Linked DNA regions of Nothobranchius furzeri. The protein of the gene in region 2 purifies or fractionates together with the protein of the main gene of each other region. This does not show direct contact. Links are inferred from orthologs where the notes say so. Each region holds a gene or a part of one and is shown on either strand. Other genes may lie near its edges.

The links.
Region 1: the proteins of plk1 (region 2) and mtmr3 purify together in Homo sapiens (affinity purification with mass spectrometry; 4 studies listed by BioGRID and IntAct, with this or other methods). This does not show direct contact. The link is inferred for Nothobranchius furzeri from reciprocal best matches to the Homo sapiens genes PLK1 and MTMR3.

Annotation. Positions count from the first base shown.
Region 1 is NC_091757.1:28,520,392-28,526,477, reverse strand, and holds the start of mtmr3 (myotubularin-related protein 3), read right to left. Parts: upstream 3,333-6,086; 5' UTR 3,127-3,332; intron 1,816-3,126; 5' UTR 1,741-1,815; intron 1-1,740. UniProt on the Homo sapiens protein: Lipid phosphatase that specifically dephosphorylates the D-3 position of phosphatidylinositol 3-phosphate and phosphatidylinositol 3,5-bisphosphate, generating phosphatidylinositol and phosphatidylinositol 5-phosphate.
Region 2 is NC_091744.1:8,885,738-8,891,624, reverse strand, and holds the start of plk1 (serine/threonine-protein kinase PLK1), read right to left. Parts: upstream 3,703-5,887; 5' UTR 3,523-3,702; coding exon 3,169-3,522; intron 2,854-3,168; coding exon 2,685-2,853; intron 2,575-2,684; coding exon 2,430-2,574; intron 2,356-2,429; coding exon 2,262-2,355; intron 2,181-2,261; coding exon 1,958-2,180; intron 1,834-1,957; coding exon 1,791-1,833; intron 1,678-1,790; coding exon 1,580-1,677; intron 1,448-1,579; coding exon 1,370-1,447; intron 745-1,369; coding exon 590-744; intron 504-589; coding exon 321-503; intron 240-320; coding exon 45-239; 3' UTR 1-44. UniProt on the Homo sapiens protein: Serine/threonine-protein kinase that performs several important functions throughout M phase of the cell cycle, including the regulation of centrosome maturation and spindle assembly, the removal of cohesins from chromosome arms, the inactivation of anaphase-promoting complex/cyclosome (APC/C) inhibitors, and the regulation of mitotic exit and cytokinesis.

The sequences.
Region 1 (6,086 bases), on a different chromosome or scaffold from region 2:
AAGATGGTGCACAACCAGAGCCACTGCTAATGTTACTGTTAATAAAGCTAAAGATGAAAACGCTAGAACGACTTAGCATGAATTCTCTTCTTTATTTAGCAGCTTTACTCTATAAAACCACTGACTGTAAAGTCTATTTACTCAGTGTTCTCCAAACCCCGGTCCTCAGCGCAAACTGTCCTGCATGTCTTCCACGTCTTCAGCCCACCCGATTTACATAGTTGCATTGACTCCTCAGGAGAACATCAGTGCTGCGGAAGCCCGGTAATCACTCATTCAACAAGTCGGGTGTGTGGCAGCAGGGAAACTCTGGTGTTTGAAAGGGCAACATGGAAAACACGCAGGACAGTGGGTGCTGGGGACCGGGATTGGGTAGCACTGCTCTAACGTAAATAAACGATGATCTAGGAGTTGTGTTGGCTCCACAGCTGTAACACCCACTAGTCTCAGTTTTCCTAATTCAACCCGGACCTGGAACCCCTCTGGCATACCATCCATCTTCTCTCTGAGGCCCACCACTAAAACATGGGCACAGAGAGATGTAAAACATTTGCACAATTAAAGTTCCTTTCTTGTTTCCAATTATTTCCAGAGAAATTTTAACTGTTTTTGTTCAATTCAGTAATAAAACATCTGAGATGTTTAAAAAATATCATCTGGCTGCAAGAAGAAAAGTAAAATGCAGATAAAACCTGAAAATGCTAAAACTAGGGATGCAACGATATAATCCAAACCGATACGATACCGATACTTGGATCTGAGTACTCGCTGATACCAATTACAGATACCGAAACCTCTACCACACAAAAAAATGCAATGAATTGGAATACAGGTTTTATTTTCTTCTCTGCTTTCAATAGGAAAATAAAATATATTAGTAGAAATGATCAAAAACAAAAATATTAGGTGAACAGAAATGACAGTGAAGCCACTTTCAGGCAACTGCATTGGTATCGGTTCCTGTTAATGATTACCTTTCACCAATACTGGTATCGGCCTGATACCGTGCATCCCTAGCTAAAACCTTCAGGCGGATCCAGTACTGTTCTATACTTGATATAAAAACAAGCAAATGTTTCGACACTCTAAAGGATTTGGTCCTATCCGGAGCTGATCTCACGCTACACATCTAAGAGCTGGTTGGTCGGAGCGGGCCTGGTGAGGAGCAGAAACATGAACTAACAGAACACCAGTGTGTTTGTGTCAGCTGCAGGCATCAAGGCTCGTTCAGCAGCAACAAACAGGATTCTAATCCTCACATGACTCTGCACTAACAGCAGCTAAATAAGAGGAGGATGCAAATAGATTTCCCAAATACTTCCAAAGAATTTCTTTTGGAAATATCATACCTCAAGGTAAACGGGATTACAGAAAAAACAAACGAATAAAAAATGAAAGAAAACACCAGAGGCCCTAAGCTGCAGCAAATTAAAACCAGTAATTATGTGGTAGAAAACTCTGCAAGAGCTCAGCGACTCTCTGAAAACCAGTCAGAAAATTTAATTATGTACAACAAAACTAAAATAATAATCCAAAGATTATCCTGCTTCATTTGGACGATGGTGTGAACCAACGTGCCCAAAGACGTCCTCTCCAGGTAATAAACTGACTTGAATGACCAGGTAAAGGTAAACATGACCACATTTAAACATCTATTCAATATGGCAGCCTGAAGCACCTCACAGAGACAGCTACAGACACTGACGGCTGCAGATGGCCCAGATACAGTACAACACTTACTGCAGAGTATCAGCGGTGGACGGTGTTACTCCTGTTGATCCAGTAGGGAAAATCTCACAAGCAGGACATGAAAATCTGTGGAAATTAAAATGCATAATGAAGAAAAACCTTTCACTTTGAAACATCCTCATACCTTGCAAACAGAAGAAGCCGTATTTATAGAGATGCAGGCTAGAGAAGCCCCTTTGATTCCCTGGCAAAAATAAATGTAGTGGTGATCACAGCGGCGTGCGCGTGAGCTGAGACACCACCAAAGTCAGACCCAGAGAAGCCTGCTGGATATCACGGATGGATGTGAAAGCAGATCGTCACAGAAAACCAAACAACTTTCATATCTCGTCTTCAGGGTGGTGATGGAGAGGTGCATCCAAAACACCAGCAGCCCTGGTGAAGTCCTGCTGCCACCAGAATCCGTGGCTCCTTTTACCACAACCCAACATCTTTTAGTGTTTGAACTCACTAGATTAGTATTTTTCAAGAATGAGATGTTAATGCTTTCTAAAGTAAACTGTATATAAAGTCTTTTCTCTACATGGTCTGTTAGGAATATCTCAGCGCGCTGCCCAACAAATGGTTGCAAAGGTCATCTGCTCCTGCAGAGACTGAAACCTGAGCTAAAGAGGTCAGTGGATGTGGCAGCTCGGGAGAACAACACATCTTTTCATGAGTCCGAGACGAGTCCTTACAAACAGACACAATCCCGTCCAACTCAACGAGAGCTGGGTCCTGACGCCCGGCCTCGGCTCTGCCGCCGCCTGATAAGGCCTATCTGTCCCACTCACGTCTCTGTTTACAAGCCTACGAGCGGAGTCTGGCTGACTTCACGCGGAGGGCTAAGCCTGTTAGAGCTACTCCTGTCCGTGACAGGCTCCGGGCTCTACATATGGTGTTAGCATGCGCAGCACCACTAATGATTAATTTTACTGTTTTACTGGCAGTTTGTTGCTCTAATAATAATAATAATAATAATGGTTGCGTTTAAGTGTGAAGACAGCTGAGACAGCATCATCTAACTAGCTAGCTAGCTAGCTGTTACAGACTAGAGAGAGCCAGCAGCAGTGGTGGTAACATCCTATCAGAGGAAACTCGGCTGCGTTCGCTGTAGCTAACGTTAACGTCAACAGTTAGCATGCTAATCTTCAGCAACATTAGCATGCTAAGGCTTAAATGTAAGTGTTATTAGGATTTAAAGTAGCCCTGTTAAGTACGGCAAGTCGGCTCCTATCAGTCGATGTTTGTCATTAGTTGCTGCACCGCACCACACCACAGCCCAGCAGAGCAGCGCCGCTCTCTGCAACTGTTTTTGTTATGAGATGGAGGGCGGACCCCGGGACAGAGGCCTCTGTCAAAACACACCGAAGGCTCGCCACAGCCGGTGAGACTCACCCGTGAAAGGAGCGAAGTGGTCAGAAGCTCGCGATTCACCCGAAGCCCATGCAAAAACTCAAAAGGAAACTGCTCTCAAACAAACGGGAATTAGTCATATCCGAGCTGAAGCCAGCCTCAGTGCGTCCTCTTCCAGCGCCGAGTCTTCGTCGCCATCGCCGCCGCGAAATCGCCAGCCCAACAACATTCGCGCTTGTGACGCAACGTCGTCAGTGCGACGCTGCGCGAGGGGGCGGGGCTCGAGCAGACCACGCGGTCCGATCATGTAAACACTGGATGGGGTTTTCCCCGGTTTGCCGAAATAACAATGAGACCGTGGCGCTGTACACACACTAAAGCGAGAGGAAGGGGTTGGTATTTTAGCATCCATCTGTGGTGAATCTAAATGTGAGCATGCCTAAAGAATAAAGAAATAACACGACACAGCAAGAGCTTAGTGATGTCTGACTGATGGCTTACATAGGTAATTTTATTTCCCAGAGGCTTGACATACCATTGTTCACTCGTTAACATTTGACAGCCTAACACGTGAGGCATTACAGTAATTTCAGCCTGCAAGTCACTTCTTTATTTGCTCTCCGCTGACTTTCAAAAGACGTTTTCTCCTTTAGGTAACCTCCCACACCCAGCGTGTAAATGTCGTCACAGTCCCAATCGCCCTATTCAAATTCCGCTGACTACCTCCATCATAATTTAGTGACCAATGTCAATTGTTAAACCCATTTTATGTGTATAGCTCTTGTAACAATATAAAAAAAGCTTAGCTTTTTCTGAACTGAGATACAAAAAGTCCCACACCTCTATGATCACACTTCACCACTAAACATATCTGTGAGGAAAATGCATGAGGCATATGATATGGCACAAAATTATTTGGGTTTAAATAGTAAACTGGAAGCCATCTTTAAAAGGTCATCGTTAACTTCCGGTTTTCAAAGAACTGCAATGACTTTGCAAGAGCCATAATTATCAGCTGCACCATGCATGGACTTCACAGTTGTAAAAAGACCTTAAGTGCTGAATCAATGTTCCTGTTCAAAAACAATAACACAAAAAACAGTCCATCACCTTGTCATGAGACCAGAATGACTTGCATGCAAAACAATTAAATGAGCTTTACATGAGAAGATGATGGTCAAGGTAAATACATTTCTTTTTCAGTCAGGTATCTATTACTATAAAAGACAATGAAGTTTTCACATAAGAAATGCCACTTCAAATCATACAGCATATTATGCACAAAATATGGTGGTAAGAACGCTAGCTGTAAAGAATCTGTAGCTCCAGTAGTGAACTAAACAGTGTTTTAGAGAGCAAGTTTACAGATTAAAAATACCCATCCTCCTCTTCCAGGCAACTCCAGTCTACACGCATCTGTGATGAATTACAAAACTGCATCAAACCACTGTTCTACGTGACCGCTGAAATGCTCATAACCATCCAACTTCCTCGTGATTATTTACTAAACGGTTATAACATAGTCGTTCCCTACATCAAGTGTTTATTGTAATCACCGCCATCACTGGCATGAGCAATTGTTTCAATAAAGCTTTAAAAAGCACGACTACCCTGAGAGAAAGGTCTAAACCCATGGGCAAGCCTGCCAGACAACAACTGGCTTCGAATGGGTCTGGTTTATTAAATCTGTACACTCTATTTTTATTTTAATATTTTCAGCACGTTTTGTCCCAAGAATGTAGGATATTATTCTTTATAATTGTGTAATATATACCTCTACATAATACAATCCAAGTTCTCTGACCTATGTAGACATGTGCAAGAGTTAACTACCAAATTCAGCAATACAGTGAAGGCAAAGACTTGTGGACACTAAGGAAGGATAATGTTGATATTTGAATTTTTCTCGAGTCCTCACAATTATCAAAATCTAAGTGCTGTACGTACTTCATACACGAGGTATTGAATATCTAGTTAACTGTTCAGAGTTTCAAATAGAGGCAAAATACATAAAGAACATCTTGCAAGCATGACAAAGAAACTGCTACAGACACAATACACGAGTGGTCAAAGGTCATATGAGGGGGTGGTCTTTAATATAATGTAACTACAAAATAAATGTCTTCAGGTTGATGAGGTCATACTGTAGGCATCATGCTTTTAAATGGATTGAGCTTCAGTCCCAAAGTAGATCAATGTACACCACTTCAGCGGCACTGAAAGTCCAGCTAAAGCACATTTCAGTGTTTCAGAACGGAGTTTTTTCCTTTAGTCAAGTGAAGTTTGTCATTTTTTAGCAACAATAGTAGATTTATTTCACGAATCAGGTCAGGTGTTACCTGGGAGGATCGCCACACATCCATACAAAAGGGAACGCTTCCTCCACGTTTTCGATAAAGAGCCAAATCAGTCGCTCTGCTTTGTGTCCCGTCTCCTACGAGTCGGGTCCCACCGGAGGCGCGACGCAGGCCACTTTCACCCCGTCCATTCAAATTAGCGTCGGTCATGTTTATGTTCATGAAATGCGCGGTCATAGCGTGATGTGCACGAACCTAGTCTGAGGTAAAACAGGTGTCCTGTGTCTCGGCCTGAAGAGCAGTGCCTTAGAGGGTCAGAGAGGTCAATCTGAAAGAAACCGTGTAAACTGTGCTCAGGTGAAGTGACTGTTTCACTTCCTAGCAAAAGCACAGGGGCACTAAACTGTAAACCTTAAGAATCATAAATAAATAAAAATAAACACCTAACATACTTTAGTGTTAGCTTTAACAAGATCTTTTTTCCCCTTCTTTTTTTGCAGGCTTACCAACTTTTTGTTGTTCGCCCCTTTTTGTTTGTTTTTGCTCAAGTATATTCACAGGTGACTAGCTACAGGGAATAAAAGGGTCAGGTGAGTACCATGCTACATCAGATCTCAGAGAAGGCTATTGCAGACAATCCTACAACATGTACAACCACATTTTATACGTGTGACTTACAAATAGTTCAAAACATATCACCAAGAA
Region 2 (5,887 bases):
CGACTAGAAGGGAAAGTGATTGAAGGTTTGAGGAACAAACTAGACTATTGTGCAGGAGAAGAAGCCTTGCTGTCCTGCAGCTTCTCCACCATCTGCTTGGCGTAACGTATGCGGCTAGCCAGCTCCTTACTGCAGCCGAACTCCTCCAGAAGAGACAGCTTGTAAGTGCGGAAGTCTCGCTTCTCGTCGATGTAGGTCACCGCCGACATGAGCGGACACAAGATCAGCTTGGTGTGATCCTGAAAAGCACATAATGATAGAAGATGAGGGATCGCGCACGTGAAGCATCACGCGTTGAGTGAAAGGGTTAACCATCTAACCTGGAAGAAGTTGATCTGAACTGTGCCGTTGCTGAGGTGCAGTACGATGGCGCTTTTCGTCCTAAACCACAAGGAGAGGTAAGGCAGCCGTGCCAGCTCATCTCCCTCCCGCCGCGCCATGTTGGCCCCAGCTTTCAGGAGGTGCTCGCTCATATAGTTACGGAAGTATTTCAGCAGCGTAATCTACAGCCAGAGAGAAATACAAGTCACTGTGATGGCCTTGAAGGGGATAAAATGGAATTAAAAAATAAATAAAAACACTGTCTGACCTTTTTGTTGAGAGTAGCGGGGAAAGAGCGAACGCTGAGGTAGGACTCAGCTGCAGTCTTATCGATGTACTGGAGGCTGTCTCCGTCAGCGTACATGATGAGCCGGGTGTAATCGTTGAACAGAACCCCCACGCTGTTGTCGCAGAGCTGGTAGCCTGGAACAGACATTAAAAACTCTGTAAAGATACTTTTAACAGTACCAGATAACATCTATACAGGGTATCTGCAGGTTTAAGGGAGCCAGATTTAAGACTTTTTAAGACCTTTTTTAAGGCCACTTTGACCAAATTTAAGCTTCTTTTTTTTTTAAATTAAATTTAAGCTATAATTTCCAGCTATTGCCTGGAACCGGTGCTAACCAGGTCGTGAACGTGGGATTAGCCATCCATTTACCATTAATGTTGCACTTCCCCATGGTGCAAACTCCCACTAGCATGCTCATCTAAAAATAGCCCCCTTTCACAACCAACCGAATGTGTACGGTTCCGCTTACGCCAATATCATACACAAAAAATGCCAAACTAACTAGAAATTCATGAAAATTTTATAGAAATAAAAGAATCTTGTTTATTGGGTCTTTGGTAATTTAAGACCGTTGGAAACTATTTAAGGACTATTTGTCATTTTTAAGGATTTTTAAGGCCTTAAATTTGGAAAAGCTAATTTAAGACTTTTTATGGACCTGCAGATACCCTGTATATACTTTTAATAGTCTAAACCAAACTTACAAAGTTAAAATTGCAGCTTATGTGAACAAACAAACGGTCTCCTAACATTTACCTAATCCATATTTATCAGAGTAGTCGACCCATTTGCTGATCCAGAAGATGGGGATGCACGCAGGATCCTCGGCCTCCTCTGGAATTACACAAAAAAACCTTAGATGTAGATTAAAAAGTAGATAACCGCATCCGTTTTGACAAAATTCAGAGAAATAGCAACAGAGACTCCACAAGATCGGTAAAGACGAAGTGAGACACGTCCACTAACCTTGCTGGATGACGGCCCTTTCAGAGGGTTTGGTGGACATGATGCTGTTCAGCTGCTGCAGCATGTCTTTCAGGTAGGGCTCTGATGGTTCAGCCGCCCTGCACACACACACATTTAAAGGTTAACAACATCTACGCAAAGAAAAGATAAAAACTAACAGAACTAGAATTTTTATAAAATGTTTGTCATGTGATAAATAAATGAAAAACACCTTTGCATAGGCTCGTCTTTCACCTCCGTTTTCTCCGTACCAACTGGGAACAAAGAAAAAAAAAACGTTAACATCTAAAACAAGACTAATAAAATCTATGTGGATCAACTCAAACATCATTGCCTAGGAAAAATAAAAACAAAGATTTTCATTTTGATCGCCATTACCCTTGTTTAGAGCAGTCAGAGGACGCCGCTGGCTGAGCTCTGCAGTTGTGGAGGGGGCGATGGAGAACCGAGGGGGTACAGTAAGACACGTGGTGGGCAGACGGAGGGGGATGTAGCCGGACGTAAAGAACTCATCGGCCTGCACTTCAGCAACGCTTGGCCTCTGTGCAGGATCGGCGTGCAGCATCTTCTTGATCAGAGTCGCCGCAGTCGGGGTGATGTGCTGCAGGTTGTTCAGATCATACGACTCAATTATTAACTTAATTTTAGAAAGAAAACGGTGCATTCAGTTTGATTTTCATACCCAGGGGATGGTGTAGTTGTTCTTCTTGATGCGACTGTAGGTGTCCTTCAAACAGGAGGTCTCAAACGGGGGCTTGCCCACCAACAGAGTGTACCTGAAAGAACAGAAAAGGGAAGCTTTCACAGCTGGGACATTTCAAATGAGTTGCGTTTGTGGGCCTGTACTTACAATATGCACCCAAGTGACCAGACATCGACCTCATAGCTGTGGCCCTTTTTACAAAGCACTTCTGGTGCTATGTAGTTGGGCGTTCCACACAAAGTCTTCTTTCGTTCGCCTTCAAACTCGATCTTAGTCGCCAAGCCAAAGTCCCCTAAACAAGAGAGAACACGTAATAACGAGGCATGCTTTGATTCAAATCCTTCTCGACGTGATAAAAACAAAAGATCTAGTGCAAGCTACAAGTCCAAGCAAGTGGAGTACCAATTTTGACATCCATGTCGTCGTTGAGGAAGATATTGCCCAGTTTCAGGTCTCTGTGGATGACCTTGTTGTTGTGCAGGTACTGGACACCCTTCAGCAGCTGGGCCATGTAGTAGCGAGCTTCAGGCTCCGTCACAGCCTTGCGGCGTTTGTGCAGCTCCAGCAAGGACTGAAATAAAGCATTTTAAACAGTCAAGACAACAGCTCAAGAAAAGAGTGATCTTTTATGCGTTTAATTATAAGATTGAACATATGGTACACATGGGGCCACCAGAGTGGTACTGGACCAATAAACCCACATTTATAGGCTAGAAGTTTCTTTTTAAGATGTTTTTATCAAAGATCAAATAGTTGTGAGGTGTTAAATGAGTCTGGTACTGCTTGCTTCCCACTATTTAAACATGAGGACAACGGAAGATGTCGCAGTGTTTAACCGTCGGCTCTAAACCTCACTGAAAAGCTGGTTTCCTTCCATCGTACTCACCCTTCTCCTGCAGATCTCCAGGACCACAAACACATGGTCATCGTCTTCGAAAAACCCGTGGAAGCCGACGATGTTAGCGTGATCCAGACTCTTGTGTATGGCGATTTCCGAGGTCATCTTATCCCTTTGGTGCTGCTTTTGTAACAAATACTTAGCTACGATCTTGCCAGCAAACACCGTCTTCGTCTCTACATCTGTGATCTCGTAGCATTTGGCGAAACCACCCTTCCCGAGGAATCTCCCCCTCGTGTATCTTTTCATGGTTCGGGAATCAACGAGAATTTCTGGGATTTCTTTGAGAGGTGCCGATTTGGGATCCGCACGTTCCAACGGCTTTGCGGTACCAGCACTCATTTTGTATTAGAGCTGTCTTCTATGAACTTACAGGAATGTTTATTTTCTCTCCGCGCAGTAAACGTGGTGAAAACTACAAGAATCAAACTACTAACCCTAACACAACCGACGTTACTTTAGCCTAGCTAGCTAACTTTCTCCCATACACGTCTGAATTTAAATCTAATCACGAGTTTAGACTTCCTGAAAGCAAGCGATAATTAACATTAGGTTCTACAATTATAAAACGACATATATAGACATAAATATTAAAATAAATCTGCTTTCCTCATGGAATAATTCAGCAGACGTGTCCGACGGCGGCGTCTCCTGTGTTCTGTTCTGCCCTTCGAAAACAGTTTCTAGTATTAAGTTAAATGCTCGCTCTGTCGCCACGGCGCTTTCTCATTGGTCCACTTGATTTGAATTCTACGCAAAGCATTGTGGGAAGAAAAATGCAAAACTAGCCAATCAACGGGGTTGAAATAAAGTTCTAACATCGTGATTGGCTCAATGACGTCTTGCGTTTCCTTAACGCAAAGGCTGATGGTAAATGTAGACTAGTGTTAGATTTTACTTGATTTTATCGTCATCCAGAATCCAAGAAGGATTTAATTTTAACATGTAATCATATTATTAAACTGGATAAAACAGTGAAACGACAGTGTGGTCAAAATAAAAACGAAAATTGAAATAAAATAAGACGAAATGCACAAACGTTTTGAGTAATAAAAGCATGTTTGCAAAAACGATATCGGCACAGAACTATTAAATTGTGTATTTCTACAGTTAAAAGGTAAATTGAGAAAATCATGATGTTGCAAAAAATTACATTATTGATAGTTTAATTCACTTTCACACATATTCCACTGGGTGGCAGCAGTGGACAAATTCACAATTATTGTTCCTTGAGAAAGCACTTTTTTCAGACCAATCACACAATAAGCACTTCATATGACACAGCACGGATTCACAGCTGTAAATAATGAGATCATAAATAGATTATTGTCATGATGGTCTAGAATTAACTTTATAAATGTCTAATCATTAAATAGGTAACATCATCTTAAAATAAAAATTTCAGTCCACAACACTTTTTCCAGGGAATCATTTTCTGTTGAAGCCTCCCATAGTTATTAAAACAAAAAGTAAGAGTGCACAGCTAGTGGCTGATTTGACTTTGTTATAAGGGGGGATGTTTAATATAGGGACTATTTACTATGCACACACTCTTTAAAATATGTGTGTTTTACAGTTTTTTGTTTTTTCACTTTGTGTGTTTGTTTATAAATGGTCTTCAGGCTTTAGTCCGACTGGTGGGTGATGTGTGGAGATTGCTGGCTTATATGTGTCTGTTCCATTTTTGCACATTCATCCTTCTCTTCTGCTGCCATGTGTTTCCATGGCAACACACAGAAGATGCTGTAGGGAAAACTAAATGAAGTAAGCTTGTCTGTGCTTGTATGGGTCAACATTTACACACATTTAGTTTATTACACAGGATTTTGCAGAGAGCTGAACGTCCTCTGCAGAGGGGCACAAAGAAAGTAGAGTAGGTTACCTCCCTCCATGTTTCATCTTCTTTTCTTCCACAGTTTTGGCTCACTGGAATCTCAAGGGTGCTGTGAGCTCTTTAATTTTTCACCTACATAAAGTAAAGCGTTAGCAAAACCAGGACAAAGGATGTTTTTTCCTAAATCAGAACAACATGCTTGCCACATTTAGAATACATATTTCAGCCAAAGATATGTAAATATAGAATAAAATTAATCAAAATGTCTGTCTTCAAAAGTGATGGTGAAATCTAAAAGTTATGTGGAGAATGCAAACTTTTAGTTTTCACTTTATAATAATGAATGACCTAAAAAGACTGTAGGGACTGTTTTAAATATTCAAATGATGCTAGCACTATGCATTTGTTTGTAATGTTTGCCAGGGACCAAGGACAGGAAAAATGATCTGTTGAAAAGAGAAATAGTGTATGATATTTGTATTCTAATCCGTGTTGGGATTAAAGATCCAATGTAACTAAATATGGTGTGATAATTTCCTCCAGCTTTTCATTTTATACTCATTGGGACCTTAAAGGATTAAAGTTTCATTTATTCACTATTAAGTAAATTGTAAAATAATCAGATTGTCTTATTAACTATCTATTTCTTTTTTTTTTTTACCTTTTTTTCTCCAGCTCAGGGAAATTATAAACAGACGTGTTTAATAATAATAATAATAATACATTTTATTTAAAAGCGCCTTTCAGAACACCCAAGGTCACTGGGTGCAACTTAAATACAAATATTGACATACTGCAACAGCTCTGTTCTTCAGCACTATTTTCCAGCATGCTATTTTCTTTCCAATAAAACTTTTATACTGTCAATGAAAA